6 linked regions of the Oryctolagus cuniculus genome follow. The main gene of each other region encodes a partner of the protein of the gene in region 2 in a complex. Links are inferred from orthologs where the notes say so. Each region holds a gene or a part of one and is shown on either strand. Other genes may lie near its edges. The genes, in order: CASP2, YWHAG, NEDD4L, TLE6, CAMKK2 and HDAC4.

What was found.
Region 1: the proteins of YWHAG (region 2) and CASP2 are in contact, whole or in part, in a crystal structure (PDB 6S9K), measured with the Homo sapiens proteins. The link is inferred for Oryctolagus cuniculus from reciprocal best matches to the Homo sapiens genes YWHAG and CASP2. Residues at the interface, in NP_036611.2 of Homo sapiens: Glu15, Asn43, Val47, Arg57, Arg61, Lys125, Arg132, Tyr133, Pro170, Gly174, Leu177, Asn178, Val181, Glu185, Glu213, Asp214, Lys217, Asp218, Leu221, Ile222, Leu225, Asn229, Leu232, Trp233; in NP_116764.2 of Homo sapiens: Asp137, Leu138, Ser139, Leu140, Pro141, Phe142, Pro143, Val144, Cys145, Glu146, Leu150, Lys152, Lys153, Leu154, Ser157.
Region 3: the proteins of YWHAG (region 2) and NEDD4L are in contact, whole or in part, in a crystal structure (PDB 6ZC9), measured with the Homo sapiens proteins. The link is inferred for Oryctolagus cuniculus from reciprocal best matches to the Homo sapiens genes YWHAG and NEDD4L. Residues at the interface, in NP_036611.2 of Homo sapiens: Lys50, Arg57, Arg61, Lys125, Arg132, Tyr133, Gly174, Leu177, Asn178, Val181, Tyr184, Glu185, Leu225, Asn229, Leu232, Trp233; in NP_001138439.1 of Homo sapiens: Pro444, Arg445, Ser446, Leu447, Ser448, Ser449, Pro450.
Region 4: the proteins of YWHAG (region 2) and TLE6 are in contact, whole or in part, in a cryo-EM structure (PDB 8XI3), measured with the Mus musculus proteins. The link is inferred for Oryctolagus cuniculus from reciprocal best matches to the Homo sapiens genes YWHAG and TLE6. Residues at the interface, in NP_061359.2 of Mus musculus: Lys50, Arg57, Arg61, Lys125, Asp129, Arg132, Tyr133, Gly174, Leu177, Asn178, Val181, Glu185, Phe201, Asp202, Ile205, Ala206, Leu208, Asp209, Glu213, Tyr216, Lys217, Thr220, Leu221, Ile222, Met223, Gln224, Leu225, Arg227, Asp228, Asn229; in NP_444484.1 of Mus musculus: Phe137, Leu138, Ser139, Glu140, Ser141, Asp142, Leu144, Gln145, Leu295, Arg347, Asn430, Leu447, Gln470, Met472, Asn489, Asp510, Asn511, Thr512, Met530, Pro553, Arg555.
Region 5: the proteins of YWHAG (region 2) and CAMKK2 are in contact, whole or in part, in a crystal structure (PDB 6Y6B), measured with the Homo sapiens proteins. The link is inferred for Oryctolagus cuniculus from reciprocal best matches to the Homo sapiens genes YWHAG and CAMKK2. Residues at the interface, in NP_036611.2 of Homo sapiens: Ser46, Val47, Lys50, Asn51, Arg57, Arg132, Tyr133, Gly174, Leu177, Asn178, Val181, Glu185, Ile222, Leu225, Asn229, Trp233; in NP_001257414.1 of Homo sapiens: Leu99, Ser100, Leu101, Gln102, Glu103, Arg104.
Region 6: the proteins of YWHAG (region 2) and HDAC4 are in contact, whole or in part, in a crystal structure (PDB 3UZD), measured with the Homo sapiens proteins. The link is inferred for Oryctolagus cuniculus from reciprocal best matches to the Homo sapiens genes YWHAG and HDAC4. Residues at the interface, in NP_036611.2 of Homo sapiens: Asn43, Leu44, Ser46, Val47, Lys50, Asn51, Arg57, Phe122, Lys125, Arg132, Tyr133, Gly174, Leu177, Asn178, Val181, Glu185, Leu221, Ile222, Leu225, Asn229, Trp233; in NP_001365345.1 of Homo sapiens: Ser348, Pro349, Ser350, Leu351, Pro352, Asn353, Ile354, Leu356.

What each region holds. Positions count from the first base shown.
Region 1 is NC_091434.1:180,474,528-180,478,685, reverse strand, and holds the start of CASP2 (caspase-2), read left to right. Parts: upstream 1-1,358; 5' UTR 1,359-1,508; coding exon 1,509-1,582; intron 1,583-4,158. Other genes in the region: TMEM139 (transmembrane protein 139), read left to right, coding at 1-22. UniProt on the Homo sapiens protein: Is a regulator of the cascade of caspases responsible for apoptosis execution. Might function by either activating some proteins required for cell death or inactivating proteins necessary for cell survival.
Region 2 is NC_091450.1:44,225,998-44,230,019, reverse strand, and holds the start of YWHAG (14-3-3 protein gamma), read right to left. Parts: upstream 2,801-4,022; 5' UTR 2,559-2,800; coding exon 2,472-2,558; intron 1-2,471. UniProt on the Homo sapiens protein: Adapter protein implicated in the regulation of a large spectrum of both general and specialized signaling pathways. Binds to a large number of partners, usually by recognition of a phosphoserine or phosphothreonine motif.
Region 3 is NC_091441.1:20,107,563-20,111,062, forward strand, and holds part of NEDD4L (E3 ubiquitin-protein ligase NEDD4-like), read right to left. Parts: coding exon 2,470-3,500; intron 1-2,469. UniProt on the Homo sapiens protein: E3 ubiquitin-protein ligase that mediates the polyubiquitination of lysine and cysteine residues on target proteins and is thereby implicated in the regulation of various signaling pathways including autophagy, innate immunity or DNA repair.
Region 4 is NC_091447.1:59,670,061-59,674,058, forward strand, and holds the start of TLE6 (transducin-like enhancer protein 6), read right to left. Parts: upstream 2,801-3,998; 5' UTR 2,504-2,800; intron 2,420-2,503; 5' UTR 2,396-2,419; coding exon 2,336-2,395; intron 1,868-2,335; coding exon 1,782-1,867; intron 505-1,781; coding exon 459-504; intron 1-458. UniProt on the Homo sapiens protein: Component of the subcortical maternal complex (SCMC), a multiprotein complex that plays a key role in early embryonic development.
Region 5 is NC_091452.1:7,645,278-7,649,318, reverse strand, and holds the start of CAMKK2 (calcium/calmodulin-dependent protein kinase kinase 2), read right to left. Parts: upstream 2,801-4,041; 5' UTR 2,655-2,800; intron 2,242-2,654; exon of another isoform or gene 2,105-2,241; intron 1-2,104. UniProt on the Homo sapiens protein: Calcium/calmodulin-dependent protein kinase belonging to a proposed calcium-triggered signaling cascade involved in a number of cellular processes. Isoform 1, isoform 2 and isoform 3 phosphorylate CAMK1 and CAMK4. Isoform 3 phosphorylates CAMK1D.
Region 6 is NC_091434.1:1,481,343-1,485,290, forward strand, and holds the start of HDAC4 (histone deacetylase 4), read left to right. Parts: upstream 1-1,148; 5' UTR 1,149-1,455; coding exon 1,456-1,516; intron 1,517-3,948. UniProt on the Homo sapiens protein: Responsible for the deacetylation of lysine residues on the N-terminal part of the core histones (H2A, H2B, H3 and H4).

The sequences.
Region 1 (4,158 bases), on a different chromosome or scaffold from region 2:
AGACAGCTGGACACCACCCTAAAGGACTCTCCCACGACTGATCATCTCTCCACACCAGACCCACCTATTCATCCGATCAACATTTCCCTGTGTCTACTATGCGTGAGGAACTGTTTCTCCCGGACATCACAAACGGGGACTTGAACCCAGAGGGGAGGAGGCTACGGTAAGCCCTTTCCCAACTGGGATGAGGGTGGCGCCATGAGTCTCCTGGCACCGTCCGGTGACCTACCCTATGTTTAGTATTTCAGTAGATTGCCCAGAGAAACTGGAGGAGGAAGTGACATCTAAATGTCAAATGTGTCACAGGTTTCTACTGCAGGTGCTCTGCCTCCATTAGACCCCTTAGACTAACAGCCTCGTGAGGCATTGCCCTCATTGAAAAATGAGGATTCCAAAGGTCAGGGGAGTTCGACTATTTGCACAAGGGCGCACCGGCAGCAAATATAAAAAGCTTGAACTTCTAATTCTGAAGCCTATTGTGTTTTCAATACCAGATAACGGGAAGTCAGGCCACTCCTACATCTCGCAATCTCTGTCTTGGGAGAAAACAGAGGTAAAAGGCTTTATATCTAGATAGAAGGAGGAGGGGAGTTGTCTACAGACGGGGCGGGCCGAGCTTGGCTGGGAAGACTCCTTGCAAAACGAATCAAATAATCAACGTCGTGTGCACAGCGGCCCAGGCACCGCTCATCGGGTCCCCATCGCTCTTCAGGCCCCAACTGGGGACTTCCAGGTTTGACGATGCCGGATGTGAGTGGCAGAAAAGGATGAGCACATGGGAGCTCCTTGGAGAGCCACGAGGCACAGATTCTAAAGACTCCCCCTCTGGGGTCGTCTATGTAAAGCTCCCGGGTCACCTGCGAAGCGTCTCCAATCGCTCAGCCGCCTATCCCCGAGCGTTACCCAGGCCCCTGCCCTGCTTCCTCGGAGCCCACTAAGGACACGAGGCTTCCGGGGCTATGCTGTGGGTGCTGGCCCCGGGGGCGACGACATCATTGCTGACCCCGGCCTCCTCGCTGACCTTCACTGCGCAGGTATTTGTCTAAGGCCTTCTGGGCGTCTCGCCATCTTCTCCGCAATCTGGGCCTCAACATGTCAATAAAGTGAAATACACGACCGCCCTTACTCAGTGATGTTATTGCAATGGGGGGAGGGGGCGGAGAAGTGGGTGGCACCAGGGGGAGGGGGCCGTGATTTCCGCGGGAACCAGCAGCCAATCGGATTCCCAGGTCGGACGGCGCCTCGCTCTTTCCCCGCCCCTTCCCCTTCCGCCGAGCGCCTTCTCGCATCCCATTGGACGGCGCGGTCCCCGCGAGAGCTCCGGGGCCTGCGCTCGTACCAGGGACGGCGGGGGCGGAGCCGGCCTGGTGTCGGGGAGGATCAGGGCGTTTGTAGGGCGCAGGCGCGGGGTGCGCCTCCGGCCGGGGGAGGGATGCAGAGGAAGCGACGGCCGGGGGTTTGTTTGGGTTGTGGGCGGTACGTGCACAGCCCGGGAAAAGCGGGAAATGGCGGCGCCGAGCGCGGGGTCCCGGGCCAGCCTGCAGCAAAAGGGGCTGCTGGCCGCTGACAGGGGGCGCAGGTGAGTGGGCGAGGGTCTCAGGGGGGGTTGATGGGGAACAGGAGAGGAGAACGCGGGTCCCCTCGGGGCCTCTGCAGACAGCCGAGCCCACCCTGCTGGCCCAGCCGAGACCCCGTACGACCCGAGCCCCGGCACGTTCTCGCCCGGGCCTCTCGGCCTTGTCGACTCGCAGGCTTTGTCCAGCCCCGCGGGGCCCCGAGTGAGGGTCCCTCTCTCTGGTGCTGCTCTGGGCGCCGCATCCTCTCCCCCGGCTGCCTCGGAGGAGCACGTCCTCTGCCCCGAGGCGCTCGAGCTGTCCGGGCTGGATCGACTGTGTCCGAACCCGCTTGGCTTTGCGCATGATGACGGCCGCACAGGCTTTGGGGTGCAGTTTGCGCAGCACGAGGGGCTCCCGGGGCTCCCTGTAGGACTTGCGTGCCCACGTCTTTGTTCCGTGGCGGACGTCGCCCAGGAGGACGTGTCTTAGTGCTCTCTGGTCCAGACCCAGCAGAATAACGTGGGACGTCGGTACGGGAACCTTGAGGACATCAAGACTTTAGGATTCTTCTGCCCTTCGCGTTCTCTCCTCCCCCCTCCCCTGCGAAGTGTGTCCTTAAGTTTTGGATGATTGGCCACTGTGGGAGAGTTAAAATGTAAGGCTGTGCTCGAAGGAGCAAGTGTGCAGAGAGAAGACAGTCCTTCGGGTTCAAACTCAGGGTGTCGGGTGAAGATTCAGGGCTAGAACTTGAGGGTTAGTTGGGGAGTGAATTACTGAGTTCTGAGTGTGCATGCGATGGCCCAGGACTGGCTAGTGAGGGGAGTGCAGTCAGGGGAGGGAGGCCCGAGGTCCCCCCCCAGGACAGGCTGGTGAGGGGAGTGCAGTCAGGGGAGGGAGGCCCGAGGTCCCCCCCCCAGGACAGGCTAGTGAGGGGAGTGCAGTCAGGGGAGGGAGGCCCGAGGTCCCCCCAGAACAGGCTAGTGAGGGGAGTGCAGTGTCAGGGGAGGGAGGCCCGAGGTCCCCCCCAGGACAGGCTAGTGAGGGGAGTGCAGTCAGGGGAGGGAGGCCCGAGGTCCCCTCCAGGACAGGCTGGTGAGGGGAGTGCAGTCAGGGGAGGGAGGCCCGAGGTCCCCCCCAGGACAGGCTAGTGAGGGGAGTGCAGTCAGGGGAGGGAGGCCCGAGGTCCCCCCAGAACAGGCTGGTGAGGGGAGTGCAGTCAGGGGAGGGAGGCCCGAGGTCCCCCCCAGGACAGGCTGGTGAGGGGAGTGCAGTCAGGGGAGGGAGGCCCGAGGTCCCCCCAGAACAGGCTGGTGAGGGGAGTGCAGTCAGGGGAGGGAGGCCCGAGGTCCCCCCCAGGACAGGCTAGTGAGGGGAGTGCAGTGTCAGGGGAGGGAGGCCCGAGGTCCCCCCAGGAGAGGCTAGTGAGGGGAGTGCAGTCAGGGGAGGGAGGCCCGAGGTCCCCCCCAGGACAGGCTAGTGAGGGGAGTGCAGTCAGGGGAGGGAGGCCCGAGGTCCCCCCCAGGACAGGCTAGTGAGGGGAGTGCAGTCAGGGGAGGGAGGCCCGAGGTCCCCCCCAGGACAGGCTAGTGAGGGGAGTGCAGTGTCAGGGGAGGGCAGGCCCGAGTCCCCCCCCCCCAGGACAGGCTAGTGAGGGGAGTGCAGTGTCAGGGGAGGGAGGTCCGAGGTCCCCCCCAGGACAGGCTGGTGAGGGGAGTGCAGTCAGGGGAGGGAGGCCCGAGGTCCCCCCAGGAAGGCTAGTGAGGGGAGTGCAGTGTCAGGGGAGGGAGGCCCGAGGTCCCCCCCAGGACAGGCTAGTGAGGGGAGTGCAGTGTCAGGGGAGGGAGACCCGAGGTCCCCCCAGGACAGGCTAGTGAGGGGAGTGCAGTGTCAGGGGAGGGAGGCCCTAGGTTCTCCCCCCCAGGAGAGGCTAGTGAGGGGAGTGCAGTGTCAGGGGAGGGAGGCCCGAGGTCCCCCCAGGAGAGGCTAGTGAGGGGAGTGCAGTGTCAGGGGAGGGAGGCCCGAGGTCCCCCCAGGACAGGCTAATGAGGGGAGTGCAGTCAGGGGAGGGAGGCCCGAGGTCCCCCCCCCAGGACAGGCTAGTGAGGGGAGTGCAGTCAGGGGAGGGAGGCCCGAGGTCCCCCCCAGGACAGGCTAGTGAGGGGAGTGCAGTGTCAGGGGAGGGCAGGCCCGAGTCCCCCCCCCCCAGGACAGGCTAGTGAGGGGAGTGCAGTGTCAGGGGAGGGAGGTCCGAGGTCCCCCCCAGGACAGGCTGGTGAGGGGAGTGCAGTCAGGGGAGGGAGGCCCGAGGTCCCCCCAGGAAGGCTAGTGAGGGGAGTGCAGTGTCAGGGGAGGGAGGCCCGAGGTCCCCCCCAGGACAGGCTAGTGAGGGGAGTGCAGTGTCAGGGGAGGGAGACCCGAGGTCCCCCCAGGACAGGCTAGTGAGGGGAGTGCAGTTCTCCCCCCCAGGAGAGGCTAGTGAGGGGAGTGCAGTCAGGGGAGGGAGGCCCGAGGTCCCCCCAGGAGAGGCTAGTGAGGGGAGTGCAGTGTCAGGGGAGGGAGGCCCGAGGTCCCCCCAGGACAGGCTAATGAGGGGAGTGCA
Region 2 (4,022 bases):
CCATTCAGGCAGGTATTGCCCCATTCCACGGATGGGGAAAGGAAGTCAGAGGGAAACCTACTTGCTAAGTCAACATAAATAGCTTTCAAAAAACATCCTTGTTGGGGCCAGCACTGTGGTGCACCGGGTGAAGCCTGCTGGCATCCCCCTGAGCACTGGTTCAAGTCCTGGCTGCTCCACTTCCGATCCAACTCCCTTGCTAATGGCCTGGGAAAGCACTGGGGGACGGCCCAAGTGCTTGGGCCCCTGCATTCTCATGGGAGACCAGGAAGAAGCTCCTGGCTCTGGCTGTTGCAGCCATTTGGGAGAGTGAACCAGTGACGGAAGACCTCTCTCTGCCTCTCAAATAAATAAATCTTAAAAGAAAAAAAAAAAAAAAAAAACCCTGATTGTACAATTGGTTCTCTCCTCCCTGCTCTGTCGAGGAGAGGAAGCACAGAGCAGCTTCCCAAATCCTGAAGTCAAATGTTTCCTGAAAGGTCTCCGTTCCCTACGGCTTCCTGAGAATAACCCAGTGGGAAGCCGCAGTTTCTTAGGGTTTTCATTAAAACCTGCCAATTATTTGCAATAAACCCGAGTACACATTCCACCCCTGCACTGTGATCCTGTATTATTTTAAAAATTCTTTCATTCCGCTGTTGTCCCAATTTTTAAAATGTGCGAGATCAATGCTTCAAAAAGACGAAAGTATCTCATGGATCCTGAGACCAACTGGAAACGGGAAGACGAGTGAGGCATATCCAGGGGTCGCGGGTTTGCATGTCTGAGGGAAAAGGAAATTCGTGTTTTCTGGACCCGTTCTTATCTGGGGGAGGATAAAGGGCTCAGCTCCACCTGGCTCCTCAGCCACCTTCTGCACTCCTTGGACAGACGCCAAGTGCACACTCCTCCCAGCTCCGAGGTGCACTGCAGCCTCTGTGTCATTGTGCGTGACATCACTGGGCTGCTATGGGTACAGGTGCGAGGTCACTCGCCTTCCTGTGAAACTCGGAACATGGCAGAATTAAAGCCTAAATAAAGGACACGAACCGGAGATATTCCCAATAGTGTTGAGCAGATATTAAAAGTGCGACTTGCATTATCAGAGCATTAAAACGTTAAGAACTACCAACTCTGTGGATGTATGAAAACAGCACCATCTCCAATTTCAGAACAATGACCTTCCTCAACAGGATAAAAAAATTTTTGTTAATATCTGTAGCTGGAGCAAGGATAACAGACCAGCCTTGTCACCTTGCTGCTCAAGAATGAACGTAACCCACACCGCTCTGAAGGTGCAGCCTTAAACCGCAGCCCGAGAGGCGTTCTAACCCTGTTACATAAGGCAGGAAGTGAAATACTAAGGCGGTGGGAGCCCTAAACCATCCGTTTTCCTGCGTCTCCTTCAGCAATAGCCCCCCTCCCCTGAATTCACACTGCGGGCCGGGGCGAGCTGGGGCTCCTGACAAAATGGTGCAGCCGGGGGCAGGGACCCGCATCCCGCACAGACCAGACCGCGGGGCTGAGCGGGGCTGCCTCTCCTCCAGGGCGAGGGGCAGGAAGCTCCGGCGGCTCCCAGAGCGAATTCCTGAGCAAGGGCTCGCTCCCCTGGCCGCGAAGTGCTCCCTGCCTCCACCCAGTCTAGGCTCTCTGCAATATGACAAATGCAGAACCTTCTGGAACGCCTGGATCCTGCCTCCCACCACCGCTTTGTTTGCAATATCAGATCAGACGGACTGTGTGCCTATATCTCTATATATTTTTTTTCAACTTGTAGGAATTTCAACAGACGCGTGCCTGTGTTCAAAGAAGAAACAGGGAGCTAAATTCTCAACGTTTATTTTCAGGGCGATACCTACCCTTTCCAATGCAAGAACACAAGGGGAAAAAAATGGAGATGACATATTGAGAACAATCAATGGAAACGCCAGCGAGACAAACGCCCCCCCCCCAAAAAAAAAGGGCAGGGGATGCGCTTTGGGCCATGGAGCTACAGCCTTTTGTTAAGAAAAACGTGAGCCAGGAGGTTTCGATTTTGCACCGCGGAGCCCAGGTTTTCCGGAGCACCTTCCCCCCCCCCCCAACCCCCACACCCCGGGGAGGGTCCAAGGGCTGGGGAGGGGGTGGCCACCCGGGAGACCCGCCGAGCGGACGGGAAAGGCGCCGCCCAGACACCAGGGAGAGAAAGAGGAACGGCGTCCATGCGGCCCCCCGCCCCCACGCCCGGCGGGGAGGAGGGGAAGTGGGGCACAAAGGATGCGCAGGGCCCCCCGCACACCCGGAGACCAGACCCGCAAGACCCCGCCCAGCGCCGCCGGGCCCCCCGGGCGAGGCCGCGTCCCCACCCGGGTCCCCGCCGCAGCCCCCGCGGGGACGCAGCCCCCGGGCTGCCGCCCCCTCCCCTGCCGTCGCGCCGGGCCTTGCCCGCCGCTGACCGCGTGCCCCCCTCCCGGAGGGACGGGGGAGCGTGGGGGAGGGGAGGAGACACTCACGTTCTTCATGGCCGCGGCCATGTCGTCGTAGCGCTCCGCCTGCTCGGCCAGTCGGGCTTTCTGCACCAGTTGCTCGCGGTCCACCATCTTCGCGGGCTGGGTCGGGCCGGAGGGGGACACCGGGGCGGCCTGAAGGGGCTCGGAGGGCGGCTGCGGCGCGGCTGGGGCCCGTGTGCCGGAAAGACCGACCCACGAGGCGAGAGGCTGAGGCGGCGGCGGCGGCAGCGGCTGAGGCGGCGGCGAGGAGGAGGCGGCACGAGCTGCGACCGCGGGACCGGGCGCGAGGCGGCTGCGGCTGCTGTGCGTGCCGCGGGCGGACAACCCCCTGCGGCCCCGCCCACGCCGCGTGACGCAAGCGGCCCCGCCCACTCACCCGCGCGCGCGCGCGCGCGCGCCCGCCCGCCCAGGCCCCGCCCGGGCATTCGCGCCGCTCGAGCTTCGGTCCCCCATCCCCCAGCTCGGCCCGCTGCGGTCTTGCGAGTGTCCTCTGCTTCCCCGCTGCCCCCCGCCACGCTCCCACCCACCCACCCCTTTTTTTTTTTTTTTTTACTGCACCCGGATTCCTTCGCCTAAGCCTCTCCAGACTCCCCTCCCCCCTTCAGGCCCCGGGCCGGCCGGGCCTAGGGCGCGCGTGGGCTCCTGGGAGTTGTAGTTCACAACGCCGTCCAACGGCGCATTGAGGAAACCGAAGACAAAAGGGCGGCCGAGACTACATCTCCCAGTGTGCATAGCGCGCAGGGGCGTGGGAGGATGGGGCTCCTAAACCGGCGGACACGGGAGACCTCTGGCGGGGACGAGGGCGGCAACGGTCGGAGCGAGTGCTGATTCACGGCCCCGCCCCATGTCCTCTGGGCAGTTACCCGGGGAGGGGCGGGGCCCCAGCCCAGACCCTGTTTTCCAGGCAGAATAGCCGGTCATGGCGGGGAGCAGGGCCCGGGAGAGGGAATGAGGGGGCGCGGACACGGTAGCTCCAGCCTGTCAGCATGGCGCTCCCCCGCGCGACGGCTGCCTGAAGCGGGGGACTCTCTGTCCCCAAGCGAGGCTCCAGGTCCGCAGTCCCCCTGGAGGCTGCTGGACCTGTCCGGGTGACACGTAGGAAGCGGAATAGCGGCTGGGCACCCTGGTTCACGTCCCCAGGGGACGCGTCGGAGCCCGTTCCTCCGCTCCGGGTGGAGCTGCAGAATTTTTTATCTCCATGACACTGCGGCTGGGGCGGGCCACCCCTCTGCCCCCACCCAGCACCTGCACCCTGACACAGGCTTATTCCTGGGTTCCACAGCGCGCACCCACCCTCGCCTGCCTGCTTTGCATCAGTCGTTCGACAGGTATTGAGCGCCTGCTATGCTCCCAGCAATGAACGAAGCAGCAAAAAAAAAAAATCCCTGCCCCACAAAACAAGCGAGATAAAAATCAATAATGTGGGTTAGAAAGCAAAAAAAGGGAGTCCAAGGAAGGGCTCTGAACCTCACATGAGTTTCTGTGAGGGGAATATTCTAGACTCTGCTAGATGTCGGAGGAACCTGTCCTGGCAGAATTTAGGAGGTAAGTGCT
Region 3 (3,500 bases), on a different chromosome or scaffold from region 2:
AACAGACAGTCCCTAAACCTTCCAAGTCGCCGGGGTGGTGCTATCGACACAGATCTGAAACGGCCCACGACACGGATGGGATGGGCAAGCCGGCTCTTCGGCTTGTGCCAGGTGCACTTCAGCAGTCATCACGCACAAGGTGGCATTCACGGGGCCCACGAAGCTGGGCAATGCTGACCCAATTTTCTCCAAGCCCAGAGTAGTCAAGGGGCTCACAACGAAACCAAACCGAACCAAATCAACCAAAAACTAACCGAATCAAACAATTCAGGCAGTCACTAAATGACTGCTAAATCAGACCACAGACTGAACTGGTAAGACCTAAGACCCCTGAAGCATTTAAACTGATGATAACTCGAAGAGTATAAGAACCGACTTTATTAACTAATGGTGACAGGATGAAAAGAATCTATCATCATCAGGAGTTCCCTGCTGTATTTTTTCCTACGAATCAGGCTGGCTAACATTTTTGGAGTCATGGTGCATTTCAGATTCAGCCACTGCGGCCTGTTTGTGAGCCTGACCTCGCGGGAAGGGCTGAGGCCCGCTTAGAAACGGGAACCCTGCCTCGGATTCTCCAGTTGAGAAGGATCTTCCCCACGATCCCAAAACCAGGCTGTAATCGACTTCAGTTCATTTCTCATGTAAACCTCATCACGCAACGCCCTCCTGACTGAAGCGGCAGATATCTGAAACGCCAAAGCGCCCCGGTGGCAGCCAGACTGTAGACGCCCAAGCGAATGTTTGCCTTCAAGATAAATGCGGCCGGCCGCGGCAGCTGCTGCCTGCGCTCAGCTCCCCGTCCACAGGAAACGCTCGCAGTGCTGCTGAATGGAGCGCGCGGGTCTGCGGGGCCACGGGCTCTGTTTTTGTTTTTTAAAGGAAAACGCATTTGCTCAAAAGCAAACCAACGTCCCGACCGTGAAACGATTTATGTAAGTGTAAACATGAGAACAACCATTTACTAGGAAAGCTCTGTAGTCCAGAATTTACGTCTCCTAATTGCCGGACTCTGTGTTCCACCACGGGGACTGCAAACTGGCACCGGCCTTATAACAGACACACGATTTTCAGCTTCTTCTATTTTCCAGTGGTATTAGAAATTTCGAGCCAAATGAGACTTGGATTGCGAACAATCCCTGCACCTGACGAGCGAGGTGCAACGTGGTCTATGCTTCTGTAACACAACTGAACCCTTGGGGAACCCTCAGGAGTGGCTTCTGACCATCTTCAAGGGTCGGTGGTCAAGTTCAGCATGGAAGGACCTGTGCTGCCAAATAACAGCTTCCAACTGTCCCGACGGTCACCCCCCGGGTGGGGGTGGGGGGTCTGAAAGCCACTCTTATACCTAATCGCCACAGAAATCTGTACCACTGTGTAAAAACCGGCATGGATCTGGACCAAGACAAAGGATGAAGCTATTTCCGAATAAGTAAGCTTAAGATTATAAAATCCTAATGGAAGAGGGAAGAAAAAAAAAAAAAAAAGAGAAATACATTTGTACCTAGCTTTGGACGGCACCTTCCAAACAGTGAGAACCAGTGATAGAACAGGGATAAAGCTCACTTGAATGACAGAAATATTTCCGAACAAAAGGCAACACAATTCTAGTTAATACTCAACCACTCACTCTGAAGATAACTCGCAAGTGAAACCCAAACCAAAAAATCCCCCAGGCATTTCATAATCACATCCTCAAACTCGCAATCACATGAAATTCGGTGGTGGTGGGGAGGGAGGAATCCAATTTGAAACGCAGGGAGCTGGTTCTTCCGGGCAGCGCCTGCGAGCCAGCAGCCACTAGCCGAGGACTGCGCCCGCATCCCGCTCCCAGCAGGAAAAGCCGCAGCGTCACCCTCGCCAGCAGGCCGGCAACTCTCTCTCTGCTCCATGTCACCCACAGGCCACAGCCGCTCCAGGGTGGACATGGCCACAGCCGGAGCAGGGGCCCTCCCAGCTTGGAAGGCGGCGAGGTCCCCCTAGGGACCCCCAGCCTCGGCCCAGGAGCCTGTCTGCTTCAACAACGCCATCTCCTCCTGGCCCACCCTGCTCCTGCTCAGTGCTCACAGGACAAAACCCAAGGCGATGAAGGACCCCAGGGCCGCCCCCTTCCCACCAGGCGCTGCAAGGGAGACCCGCCTTCCGCCTCGAGCCCTCTGCGGCGCCGCCTGCTCCTTACCCCAGAGGGCTGTGCCAGGCCGCACCGAGACATGCCGGGCCACCGACCTGTTTTTTTGGCAGATTAATTTCAAGTAATAAATTTTCAAAATTATTCTATACAGAAGCGAGAGGGAAGAAAAAAAAATAGTATGCTTTGCTTGAATTTCCAAAACAGGTTTCTCCAACTCTGAGGGCCTAGAGACAGGCCACTTTCTGGACCGCTCACTAGCCTTGCGGGCCTCTCCCGCACACTGGGCCGAATGTCATGGTCCCGGCCTGCCAGAACTCGAGCCCTGGCCGCGCACTTACCACGGCCCCGGCGGGACCAGGGCTTTCAGCGGGGTCCTCCGTGGCAGTGGCCGGCGCCTCCTCGGGCTCCCGGGTGACCAGAATCCGGAAATGCTGCTGCCCAACGTTTGGCTCCTGCCTGATCTTAAACATGCAACCCTGGCCCTGTGCAGCCCTCTCGGCCGAGTTCGTCCTGCGGATCTCCGGGGCCATCCTGCCGGCCCGCGGCGGTGCCTCCGGTGCGGCCCGGTCTTCCGTGGGGCTCCCTCGCCCGGCCCGCGGCTGCGTAGGGTACGAGGTGCTCCTCTCCAGCCGGATGCGGGGATAGCGCACCAGCCTGTCGCCCTTCGTGCCCGTGAAGCCGAAGTTGAAGTCGCCGCCCAGCCCCGGGCTGCCCACTGGGGGCTGCTGCAGCTGGAACACGAAGCAGCGCTTCCCGGAGCTCCCAGCAGCATCCGGGACGTGCTGCAAGGACCAGCGCCTGGGCTCGGCGGCGCCATCGGGGCCCAGGGGCAGCAGCCGCACCTGGCGCACGTCCGCGCTGGATGCGCGGTGCTGGATGCGCAGGCCGGGCACGGATTCCTCCGAGCCCTCGCCGCGGCCGGGGCCCCGCACTAGGCGGCCGCAAGTGCCGTTGACCAGCGGGCCTGGGTCCCGGGCGGCTCCCGGTGGGGAGCCCCCAGACACGTCCCTCTGGGCGGGCTCCGGGGCTCCACTCGGGGCCAGGGCCCTGGCGGCCGCGGCCTGGTCCCCGTCCTCGCTGTGGCCTTCGGGGCCCTCGGGCGGCCCGCACCCGTCGGTGGCCCCATCGGCGGCCTTGCGCTGCAGGGAGATCTGCACGGACGAGCTGCGCGTGGGCCGGGCGTCGAGGCCGGTGAGCAGCTGAGGGATGAACATGGACGAGCTGCGCTTGAGAGCGCCCACGCTGTCCTGCAGGCCGCCGCCACCGGGCGCGGTGCCGTGCGGGGCGCAGGGGTGCGGGCTGCTCCTCCGCGGCAGCGTGTGGAATGCCATGAAAAAGTCCTCTTCTCTCTCCTGGTCTAGGATCTCGG
Region 4 (3,998 bases), on a different chromosome or scaffold from region 2:
CTGGCCCCTGGCTCCGGCTTGGTCCAGCCCCGGCCGTGCGGCCCTCTGGGGAGTGACGGAGATCCGCGACGGAAAGCCCATTCTGTCCTTTAGTCCTGTCAGGTGCATTTTCAAAGACTCGACAGTCAGTGGTGAACACTGGGAATACAGAACATTCTGGAACGTTCTAGAAGGCAGGGCCTGCCCCGCTCATGTTCAGTCATCTGCCGCGTCCCTCATCACCCAACCGACCGTAACCACGCAGTTCCAGCTCGCGTGGCGAGATCCGCCCGCAGCCTGGGTGCCACAGGAACGGCCACGATAGACAGCCGGACGCGGCCGCCACGCCTGCGGCCGGCGTTTCCTTGCGTCCTGACGGAGCGCGCGCTCGCTCGCCCCGGGCGTGGGGGGCTCCGCAGCCGCCCCCGGACCCGTGCAGAGCACCCACATGGCAGGGGCAGGCCAGGTGCTGGGCTCACCAAGTACGAGACGTTCTCCAGCTGTGCGGTCACCTCCAAGGGGAGCCTGCGGGAGGGGAGGGGCAAGGCAGTGAGGTGGGAGGGGCACAGGCAGTGAGGCGGGAGGGGCCCCGCCCCGCCCCGAGGGGTGGAGCCTGCGGGAGGGGAGGGGCAAGGCAGTGAGGCGGGAGGGGCCCCGCCCCGAGGGGTGGAGCCTGCGGGAGGGGAGGGGCAAGGCAGTGAGGTGGGAGGGGGCACAGGCAGTGAGGCGGGAGGGGCCCCCGCCCCGAGGGGTGGAGCCTGCGGGAGGGGAGGGGCACAGGCAGTGAGGCGGGAGGCGGCCCTCCCCCACCCCGCCCCGAGGGGTGGAGCCCCGAACGCCAACACCCGCGCCTGGGTTCCAGTCCCGGCTGCCAGCGGTGATGGGTCCCTGCGCCCACACGGGAGACCCCACGAAGCTCCTGGCTTCCGCCTGGCCCAGACCCCGCCCCCAGCCCGCTGCTGCGGGCACTTGGGGAGCGAACCAGCGAACGGCTTTCAAGTAATTCAGAACCCAAAACACTTAGCAAGGCTGCAGTGTCTGAGATGCAGAGCCCGCACCCCCTGTGGGCGCGGGTTCGAGTCCCGGCGGCTCCACTTCTGACCCAGCTCCCTGCTAGGGCGCCTGGGGAGGCCGCGGAGGGCTGGGCGCCGGCAGCTGCGTGCGAGGCCGGGACGGAGCTCCTGGCTCCGGGTGGACCCAGCCCCAGCCAGTTGCGGCCATCTGGGGAGTGAACCAGCGGATGAAGGCCCTCTCTCTGCCCTTCAAAAACACAAATCTTCAAAAAATGTTTTAAAGTGGCCGGCGCCGCGGCTCACTAGGCTAATCCTCCGCCTAGCGGCGCCGGCACACCGGGTTCTAGTCCCGGTCGGGGCGCCGGATTCTGTCCCGGTTGCCCCTCTTCCAGGCCAGCCCTCTGCTGTGGCCAGGGAGTGCAGTGGAGGATGGCCCAGGTGCTTGGGCCCTGCACCCCATGGGAGACCAGGAAAAGCACCTGGCTCCTGGCTCCTGCCATCGGATCAGCGCGGTGCGCCGGCCGCAGCGCGCCGGCCGCGGCGGCCATTGGAGGGTGAACCAACGGCAAAGGAAGACCTTTCTCTCTGTCTCTCTCTCTCACTGTCCACTCTGCCTGTCAAAAAAAAAAAAAATAAATAAAAAAAATAAATAAAAAAAAAAAATGTTTTAAAGTGATGCAAAGCTGAGATCTGAAGGCAGGATTTTCAGAGACGCGAATGCAAAGTCGCCCGGGGCAGGGGCCCCCAGCTCGCTCACCCCCAGAGGGCCCCTCCCGCAGCTGCCCTCACCTGGGGGCCCGCTCGCGGAGGTCTTGCAGGGTGACGCGGCCGTCCAGGACCGGCAGCGCCTCGGAGGCAGAAGTCCCAGGGGGAGGCTGCACGGGGGGGGGGGGGGGGGCAAGGGAGAGAGACGGACAGGTGCGCACACAGGCCCCGCCCACCGGGCCCTCCTCCGCCACGGAGGCCGCGGGGATCGGACCAGGCCTGCTGGGGCGGGGCGAGAGCTAGAGCCACAGCCCTGCTCGGTGTCTTGCTCTCCCTGGGGCGGGGGCATTGGTCGCCTGCTGTGCCCAGTGGGGTGGGGGGTCTCAGACCCGATCCTCTTGACACCTGACGGTGAGGAACCTTCGTGTCCTGGAGCTGGGAGGGGGCTTTCCCTTCAAACCACCCACCAGGTGCTGCGGGGCCCCCGTCTCCAGGTGAGGCGGCCACCCGCTTCATTGCCCGCAGCTGCAGGGGCTGGCCGTGCCGCCGCACAGGTGGGCGTAAGACCAGACGGGGGCCGGGCAGCAGCGCTGGGTGGGAGCCTGGACCCTCACCCCGCCGCGCTGCGCCCTCCTTACCGGGGTGCGCTCCAGGGACGAGGGGGTGCGCCTGGGGCTGGGCGAGCCCGGGGAAGTCATTTCGAGACGGCAGCTTCCAGAACCCTAGGTCGGAGAGCTGAGGCTCGGAGAGGGACCGCCGCCCCAGCCCCCCGCCCCGCCCGGAGCCCCCTACCCGTGGGGGCTCACTCTCCAGGTGGGAGTGGGGATGGCGCCCACAGCAGGTGTCAACGCGGAGCCTCACTTCGCGACGGTTACTGGAAGCGGGGGGTGATTCCAAGGGGGTTTTGCAGAGTGAGCAGGAGTTCCCAGGGTGCGGATGGGGGTGCGGGAGCCGGCCCGACCGCGGACGCCTTTCCCGCCGCCCGCCCCGGCGCGGGAGCCCGGCTGCAGCCCACTCCCCCTCCCGGGAACCGGGGCAGCCGACGACGTACCTCCCGCAGAGCGAGAAGCCCAGGGGTCAGCCGGGTCCAGACCCCCAGCGAGCGCCTCCCCCCGCCCCCGGCCCCTTTGACCCGTCGGGCCCCGCCCCCGCCCAGGCTCCGCCCCCGCCGCGGACCCCAGTCCGCTCCCGACCAGAGCCAGCGTCGCACGTGGGCTCGGGCTCTGCGGGGCGGCCGCCTAGCGGCGCGGACCAATCGCGAGGCCGCCTGCCCACGTGCGCCACGGCCGCCGCCGCTGATTGGCCGTCTCTCCCCGGCCCTCCGGCCCGGCTGTCACTCAGAGGTACCCGGAGCCTGCGCTTAACCGTTGCAAGCCCGCGACGGCGAAGAGCAACTAGCAGAGCGGAGAGCTGGGGCGGGACTCGGGGGTCGGGGCGGGGCCTGAGAGAGGGGCTATATATAGTGCCTGGTGGCCAGCAGCCCCGCCCCCTTTCCTAGCTGCCCACTCCCTGCAGGGGCAGAGTAAAGGCCGGGTGGCTCCCGAGCTGGGCGCCCTGCAGGTGCAGAGCCGGGCCTGGGGCGCGTCCGAGATTGGGGTGGGGATGGGAGTCGTTCCTGGGACAGGGGACGCCTGTATGCGCGTGTGGGCCGCGCCCCGCTCAGAGGCGCCCTTCCCGCGGCCTGTGCCTGGGACACAGGCACAAGGCCTCTCCCCAGCCCTCCCGCCCCCAGAGACGCCCCCGTCCTGGGACACCAGCCCGCACCCCGCAGCCCCTGGGACCCAGGCGCCTCTGCTTTGTCCCTGGGGAGCGTGGCGTGTGGGGGCCGCGGTGCAGGCCTCGGAGCGCCCCCCCCCCCCGCCCCCAGGTTCTGATAGGAGCTCTAACAGCCCGGGGTTGTGGCCGGGTGGTCGGGTGGTCGGAGGGCGGTTTTCCGCAGTGGGCCGCGGCCGCTGGCGTCCTTCGCGGGCCTGGCTGCCCCTTCTCTCGCCGGCTCATCTGGACCTTGTTGGCTCCCGCCCGCACATGTGGCTGTTTAATTAAAATTAATTCAAATTAAATAAAATTTAAAGTCCTGTTCCTTAGGCGCACCGAGTGCGTGCCCGATGTGCAGCCGCCACCTGTGTCTGTGGGGATCTAGAACCTTCCGCGGGGTACCCGGATGCCGGCGCGAGGCGGGGGTGTAGGTGGGGCCTGGAGGTGGCGGCCGCCCCTCGTGGTGGGCGGGGTTGGGGCTGCTGCTTCCGGTTGATGTGAGAACCAGGGACCTGGCTGAAGGTTGGAGAGAGAAGGCGCCTACAT
Region 5 (4,041 bases), on a different chromosome or scaffold from region 2:
CTCTGCCTGTCAAAAAAAAAAAAAAAAAAAAAAAGTTAAGCAAGCTCCTGGCTCCACTTCCACCCCGTCCGCTGATGGACACCAGGGAGGCGGCCACGATGGCTTTGGTGCCTGGGCCCCTGCCACCCATGTGGGAGACCTGGATGGAGTTCCTGGCTCCTGGCTTTGGCCTGGCTCAGCCCCAGTTTCTGCAGGGTTTGGGGAGTGAATCAGTAGATGCAAGCTCGATCTCTCTCCCTGTCAATAAATAAAGTGTTAGATGTTTAGGTTGGTGTTACGTGGATTTTATAAGCGCGTGTGAATGTCCATTAACAACTGAGTAAGCGAAGAGCACAGATGGAAAGAAGAAAGGCCAATTCTAGCATAGCAACGCAGCCTCCTCGACCCATGGACGGGAGGGCGGAGCCAGCACAGCCAACCCGCAGCCTCGTCCGAAGGGGAGCCACTGGTGGGAAGACGGAGCTTCAGAGACAAACAGCAGGACCAGGCCCTGTGCCTCGGCGGAAGTGGGCAGTGGTCTGCCTCGGCGGAAGTGGGCAGTGGTCTGCCCGCTTCCCTCGGGCAGCAGCTCGGAGGGGAGGCAGCCTCTCCAAGCCCTTCCGTGACACGGGGTCGCAGCAGGGGAAGGCCGGCTCTGGTCCAGGTTAAAATCTAAAACGCCCTGGAAGCAGGCGTGCCCCCGCCCCAACCGTTCCTCGCTACCCCTCACAGGGGCATCTCCCATCCAGGCTTAGCCCCCCCCCCATGCCCTCCCCCTCCCCCTCCCATCCAACCTCCCCCCAAGGCCCAGCACAAGCGACACCTCCCTCAGGAAGCATCCGGGATTTACTCCCAAAGGAAGGGATTTCCCCAGAACTTCCAAGGTCCTCTGCCCCCTCCGTTCCCACAACTTTTATCCCTGGTGGTGCTTCCCGGTGGGGGCACCACAGGGCGTGTGGGATGCGGCAACTCTGCACGGCCACAAGCCAGGGTGCTCAGCACCACCCAGGCACCAGAAGCTGCCCCCACATTGTCCAAATGCTCCTGGGTGGGTGGGAGACAGCCCCCTGCCAAGAATAACAGCCTAGGTAGTAGGGGCTACATCGGCCCCTGACACCTGCAAAGGGCCCGCGGAGCTCTGTGCCCCTGGGAGACAACCACGGGCTCAAGAAGCTGCCAGCGGTGAGGCCAAAAAGGCTCTCGGCCCCGCCACACACCCAGTCGCACCCGGCTGTGCGACCCCGGGAAAGTCACTCAACCTCTCTGAGCCCGTCTCCAAACCGGGACTAAATCCTAGCCACCAAGAGTGCCATCCTCCATCTCCTCCCCATCTGCGCAGGATTCTGGTAGGCGTTAAGTGTGAGATGATGCGCGCACCACACAGCACAGCCTCGGGGCAGAGCAGGAATAAGTGCCGGTTATTAACGTTATTATTGCCCAAGTTAGGAGCTCGCCCGATGACGCCTATTATTCTTTATTACAAAAATGCGCCGAGCACCCTCATCACCGACGCCTGCACTCCTACAGGAAGGGGCTGGAGCAGCCATCTGACGCTGCGTCTGCCCAGCAGGCACAGTTTACTCCCAAAGTGTGTTTTTTGGTGAGGCGGTTGGAGCTCCCATCCCTAGGGCCTCCCCTCTCCCACCCCCACCCCGCCTGGCTGCAGCAGACCCCCGCCTCTTCAAGGAACAAAGGAGCCAGGGGGACCCAGGGCGCGCCGCCCTGGCAGAGCCAGCGGCGGGGGAGTGGTAAACACCACGCAGCTCCAAGGCACCTCAAGTTTCCATCGCCAGGGCGGCTGTCTCAGCTGAAGGGCGAAAGTTGCCTCCAGGGAGGCGGCCGCCGCGCGTCCCACCCGAGCCCGGGGCGCCCCCGTCTCGCGGCTGGCACTGACAAGTCCCCACCCAAGCTCCATCCCTCGGCCTCCGCCGCGGAGAGGCTGGGCGCTGGGCAACACCCCGCTGCCCAAGCCGGGCGGCGCCCCGGGGCCCAGGACCCCGCGCCGAGAGGGGCTGGGCCCAGCATCCCGGAGTCAGGCGCAAGGTGCCAGGGTAAGGCTCCTCTCCGCATTCCCCGCCTGCTGCAGCCCAGGCAAATTTAGGTCAAAAGGACCAAGGCTTCGGACCTGCGGCGGCGGTGGTCAGGGGCAGACCGTGCCCTGCGAAGCGGCCGAGGTCCCCACCCTCGCTGCTCTGCGGTCCTGCCACCCGGTGTCCAGGCGGCCGGGGCCTGGGTTTGCCCCAGACCAGCGCGCGAGGGGACGCGCCAAGTCCGCGGGCCCCACCTCCCCCGCGCGCTCCAAGTTCCCCCGCCTGACAACCGCGAGGGGGCTGGGCCTACGCCGCCTCCGAGACCCTCCACAGCCCCGGCCGCCCCGCGACACCGGTTCCAAACTCTGCGCCCGCCCCCCGCCACCCAGGCCGGTAGCGGCCCAGCCGACGAGGCCACCCCGAGGCCCCGAGGCGGACGCGGGGAAGGGGCGCGGGGGGCCGCATCCCTCCACGTGGCGGGGCGTGGGGTGCTGCACGTGGGGTCCCCTCCGCGGAGGGGGCCCCCGGGGCTCTGTCTGCAACCCCGGCGGCGGCCCCCTCGCCTCGAGAGGGCAACGGCGACGGCGCCCGGGGGCTGCTGCTGCGGCGGTGGCCCCGGCCCCCGCCCGGCTCCCGCCAGCTCACCTGGGCTCCGCGCCGCCGCCTCCCGCGCGTTGCGCCCCCGGCTCCGCTCGGCGGGGCTCGCTCGGCGGCCGCGCGCTGCTCTCCGCGGTGCGGGCGGGGGCGGGCGGAGCCGCGGGGCCCGGCTCGGGCGCGGCGCCGCCTCGGGCTGCGCGGGGATTGGCCGCGGCCGCTGGGAGCCCGGGCGCGGCACCGCCCGCGCCCGCCACGCGCCGCTCCCTGCGCGCCCCCGCCGGCTCGGCCCCGCGCCGGGGCGGGGAGGGGAAGCGGGCGCCGGCGCGACGGGGCCGCGGCCAAGGCGCAGGGGCGGGCAGGGGAAGTGAGGCGCGGCCGCGGGCTCCGGGGCGGGTGCCGGAGCGCCGGAGGCCGCGCTGCGCTTTGCACCCGCCCGTCCCGCGGCTCTCGGCGCGCACCTGCCGGGTGCTCCTCCGCGGGCGGGCGGGCGGGCGGCGCTCGCTTTGTTTTAGCCAAACGCAGGGCGGCGCCTGAGTCTCAGAAAGTTCGCTGGGCTGGCTAAGTCCCGCCCCAGGTTTCGGGTCCCCCACCCGCGTTCGCGGCCGACCCGCTGCGCAGGGCCGGCCCCGGAGGCTGCGGAAGGAGTGCGCCTCCCACCCCCACCGCGCCTGGATGCGGCAGGCTGCCCGGAAGCCGCCCGAGTTCTGACTTTCGCAGGAGACCGCCCAGAAGCTTGGACAGGCTGGGTAGCGGTACCGCGAGGGGTGGGGCGGGGAGCCGGACCAGAGCGCACGAGTTGTCTGACGCGTGGCCCCGGGGGCGCCCGGAGACCTGTCCCGGGCGGACAGCGACCCCAGGCCGCTCTTCCCGGCCCTGCCGTGCAGCCCCTCGGGACTCGGGAGCTGGGGGAGGCCGCAGGGCCCCCAGCTTCGAAGGCTCCTCGCGCGCTGGGCGGATCCCCGGCCCGCTTCTGTGGATTCCGGGGAGATGCCCCCCCCCCCCACTTTCCGAGTCTGGGAGGCCCTCTGCGATGGCCGTCTGCAGAGGGAGACACAAAACCTGTTCCACTCCTCCAGTGGTCTGCTCCACCTCGTGGAAGGGGGTGCGTTACCGTTGTTTGTCCAACACCAGGAACTCGCAGAGCCCCGCGTGGAGGGAAGAGCAAGGTGCGGAGCACAGGGCGCTGCGCAATCTCTGGGCAGTTTTTTTTTTTTTTTTTTTTTTTTGATTTATTTATTTATTTGAAAAGCAGAGTTAGAGAGAGGCAGGCACACACATGCGCACCCGAGAGAATCTTCCACACATCGGTTCACTCCCCAAGTGGCTGCAATGGAGCCAGGAGCTTCATCCAGGTCGCGCACGTGGGTGCAGGGGTCCAGGCAGTTGGACCACCCCCGCTGTTTTTCCAGGCCATTAGCAGAGAGCTGGAGCAGCC
Region 6 (3,948 bases), on a different chromosome or scaffold from region 2:
CTGAGCCTGAACGTGAGCCTGGAGCCTGAACCTGAGCCTGAGCCTGAACGTGAGCCTGGAGCCTGAGCCTGGAGCCTGAGCCTGAGCCTGGAGCCTGAGCCTGGAGCCTGAGCCTGAGCCTGAACCTGGAGACTGAGCCTGAGCCTGGAGCCTGAGCCTGGAGCCTGAGCCTGAGCCTGAACCTGGAGACTGAGCCTGAGCCTGGAGCCTGAGCCTGAGCCTGGAGCCTGAGCCTGGAGCCTGAGCCTGAGCCTGAGCCTGGAGCCTGAGCCTGAGCCTGGAGCCTGAGCCTGGAGCCTGAGCCTGAGCCTGAACCTGGAGACTGAGCCTGAGCCTGGAGCCTGGAGCCTGAGCCTGGAGCCTGGAGCCCGCCCCCGGCCCCGGCAGTCAGGGACGCGGGGATGGCCCACAGCTGGCCGCTGGCACGCCGGGCCTTGCCCAGTCTGTAGTAATGAGAAGCGGCTTCGGCGCTCAGCTCTGTTTGCACAGTCCCCCCAGGGATGGCGGCCTGGATGGCCCGCTCACCGGTCAGACTTCCTGTGGTTCGGTGGTTTGCTTCTGAGTGCTAGCTGCTTCCGAAGCCCCTAAGTTGTTCGCCAACCACATGCTCTCCCCACTGTGGAGGGGACAAAGACAGAAATTTCCCAGATGTCTCCAAGTCAGGGCTGGGCCAGGCTGAAGCCAGCGGTCACTCAATCTGGGTCTCCCACGTGGGTATCGGGAACCCAGCCATCTGAGCCGTCTCCTGGTGCCTCCCGGGGTACCTGTTAGCAGGAAGCTGGGGTGCAGAGTGGAGCTGACTCAGCCAGTGCCCCCACGCGGGATGCGGTGTCCCAAGCCGTGGTTTAACTGCTGTGCCAAGCACCCAGCCCTGGAGGGGACATCTTGACCAGAGAGGCCAGGCGTGGGAGGGAGCCCCGGCCCTGCTGTCACAGCAGAGCCCGGGGTGGGGGGTGGGCATGTTTGGGGTGACCCCGTCTCCCTAGGCAAGCTCCGGAGGGGCAGGAGGGGTGGGGGTGGCCGCTTCCCCGGGGAGGCTCCCGATCGCCCCTCCTGTTGGCTGTGGGTCTCCCAGGCTCCCGCGACTCAGGCTGCTGTGGCCGCGTTGCTGCCTGTCTTCAAAGACGAACCTCCGTCAGGCCGCAGGCGAGCGCTTGCCTCAGCCGTGAGCGTGGGGTGTGAGGAGGGCAGGAGCAGGGCGCTTGCCCGGCGCGCGTTTGCTGCCAGTGCTGCGTGAGCCTGCCCTGGCGTGGCTGGGCCGGAACGTAAACAGTGTGCTGCGCAAGCCGCCAGCCGAGCCTCTCGTGGCGATCCCGTGTATCATCTGTCTGTTATGTAATGTGACAACATGGAGGTGAAATGGAAACCAGATGTCAGGGCGGGGCCGAGGGAGCCGTCCTCAGCCAGCGCCCGGGAGCAGGCAGGGCCTGGGCCGCCGCCCCGTGAAACCATCGAATGCCCTCGGAGGAGCGACTGCTGACGGGTCTCTGGGCACGAGCAGAAGTCCTGCCTGAAGGTAAAGTGCCGGTGGGCTAGGAGTGCCTCTGCGGGCAGACACGCGTCCCGGGGTTCCGGCGCGCTGCGGCCTGGTGACTTGTTAGCGGACCCGGGTTAGAATGCTGGGGCCGAGGGCTCTGGCCACCGCCCTTGGCCTGCGAGATGCCTCCAAAGGGCTCCGGATTAGGAGTGAAGGGGGGAGGTGTGGTTGGTCAGGGACTGGCTGTGTGGCCGGGGCCAGTGAGCGCTTACTGAGGGCTGGCTGCTCCACACTCGGGGCCCTAAAGAGGCAGCTCGCGGGCAGCAGAGGCCTCCGTGCTGTGCTGGGGGCCGAGCCCTGCCCCGCGCAGAGGTGGGCGCTGGGTGCCCTTGGGGAGTGAAAGGCACACCCCGTCCGTCAGAAGTGTGGTCTCCCTGGCTGGAAGCCGCCGTGGCCTCGGGTGAAGGCTGCGTGTTTCACTCGGACCAGAACCAGAGGCGTCTCCGCTGCTCTTTCCGTTCGGTCACGGATCTGCTGGGGAAAGCTGCGGCTTCCTCGCTGTGCTAAGGAGACGCTGGAGCGGAGCTCGGGGTGTGGCCGGGCCCCTCACCCTGGTTGGTTAAAGCTATGGAAGTGTTGCTTTCTCACTAGGAAGGGCTGTGGCCGGAAGCCACACAGGCGATCCCGCGTCCCGGGTCACCAGAGCCTGTGTCGGAGGTAGAAGGGGATCCCGGCTCCTTCCCGTCCCAAGGGCGGGGCTCTGTGCCGGGCTCTCCCGCTCACCGTGTCTGTGGGCCGTGGCTCCTGTGCAGGGGAGCGTTTCCTGGGTGCTGGGCCTGGCGAGATGTGTTCACGCAGCTTCGTCGTTTTAAAACACACCTGAGGGAGCAGAGAGGCTGGGGGGCCACGCCATGCTGTGCGGGAGGGGGCTGCAGCTGGGTCCTGGCTGTGCAGATGTCAGGAATCCCAGTGCTGTAGGGACAGGCGTGCGTGACGGTTCTGGGCGCTTCGGGCCGCAGCGTCTGGAAAGAAGTGGAGAACGCTCACCGGCCTCGCTCCGCTTCACCCGTTCTAAGAGGAAGCTGAGGAGGGGCCGTCGCGGCCGTGCTCGCCTAGAACCGGTGTGGCCGTCAGACAGTTACGCGAGCGAGTGCCCCGTCCGTGTTGGGAAGTGGACTTGGGGTGCTCAGTGAGCTGCCGGGGCGGGCCGCAGCAGTGCCCGTGTTTCCTGCGCAAGGACGGGGTGGGGGGGACATGCCTTTCTGCTCGCGGAGCACCCCTGCCCTGCGGGCTCCTGGCCAGCAGTGGGGACCTGGTTGTGACCACCTGGCCCCCGAGGTCTTGGGGCTCCCACCCTTGGAGGCTCCTCTCCCGCCTCCCTGCTTGGGCTGTAGGGCCTCACCAGGAGGCAGGCTCTTCAGTGTTTCATTTCTAAATATAGCCCCTGCTTCTGTTTTTAAAAATAGTTCATGCTTCCCGGAGGATCCTGGACACAGTTCCCATCCATCCCAGGGTGGCTGTTGGAACGTGGAGCCCACCCTGGGGCTCGGGGCGTTGTGCCCAAGCTCTCCTCCTGTCTTTCCAGACAAGGTGCAGGCCCAGTTGAGCATGGACGTCCTGAGGGCTCTACCCCCGGGGGTCGATGGAGTGTCTGAGGCCCAGGAGATGCTGGGATGGCACAGCCCAACCTGGCCAGCCCCTGGGGCCCCCACTCCTCCCTGACTCTCCAGACCCGGGGCATGGAGCTTCCCCAGGGAGGTGGACACAGGTGCAGCCCCCCCGCCCCCGCATCCCCATATACCCTGGACATCCCTACGGGTTCCTGTGGTCTCTTTGGAAAGTTTTCTCCACCAGTGGTGTCCTGGCCTAGGGGTAAGTGGGAAGTGGGGCTGTGGCTGCCTGGTGATTTGCTGGGGACATTGGGGAAGGGTCTTGCCTTGGCTATTTATTTATTTATTTATTTGAAAGGCAGAGTTACAGAGAGGGAGAGATGGAAGACAGAGAGAGAGAGAGAAAGAGAAAGAGAGAGCTTCCATCTGCTGGTTCACTCCCCAAATGCTGCAACAGCCAGGGCAGGGCAGGCTGAAGGCAGGAGCCAGGAGCTTCCTCCAGGTCTCCCACATGAGTGCAGGGGCCCAGGACTATCTTCTGCAGCTTTCTCAGGCTCATAGCAAGAAGCTGGATCAGAAGTGGAACAGCCAGGATTGGAACCAGCACCCACGTGGGATGCTGGCACAGCAGGGAGCAACTTTACCCACTACACCACAGCACCGGCCCCGTCAGTTGGCTCTTACACCACCACTCCTGTGTTACCAGGGCCTGGAGCCTGGGGGCTGTGGTTGAGCAGGTGTCCTGTGGTTTAAGTAAGGAGCCTTTTCCACTTTCGGTTCACATCATGAACATAAGGGGGTTAGGGTGGCTTGGCCCCTGGGGCAGGTGAGAGAGAGCAGCCCCGCCCCCTGGGGCAGGTG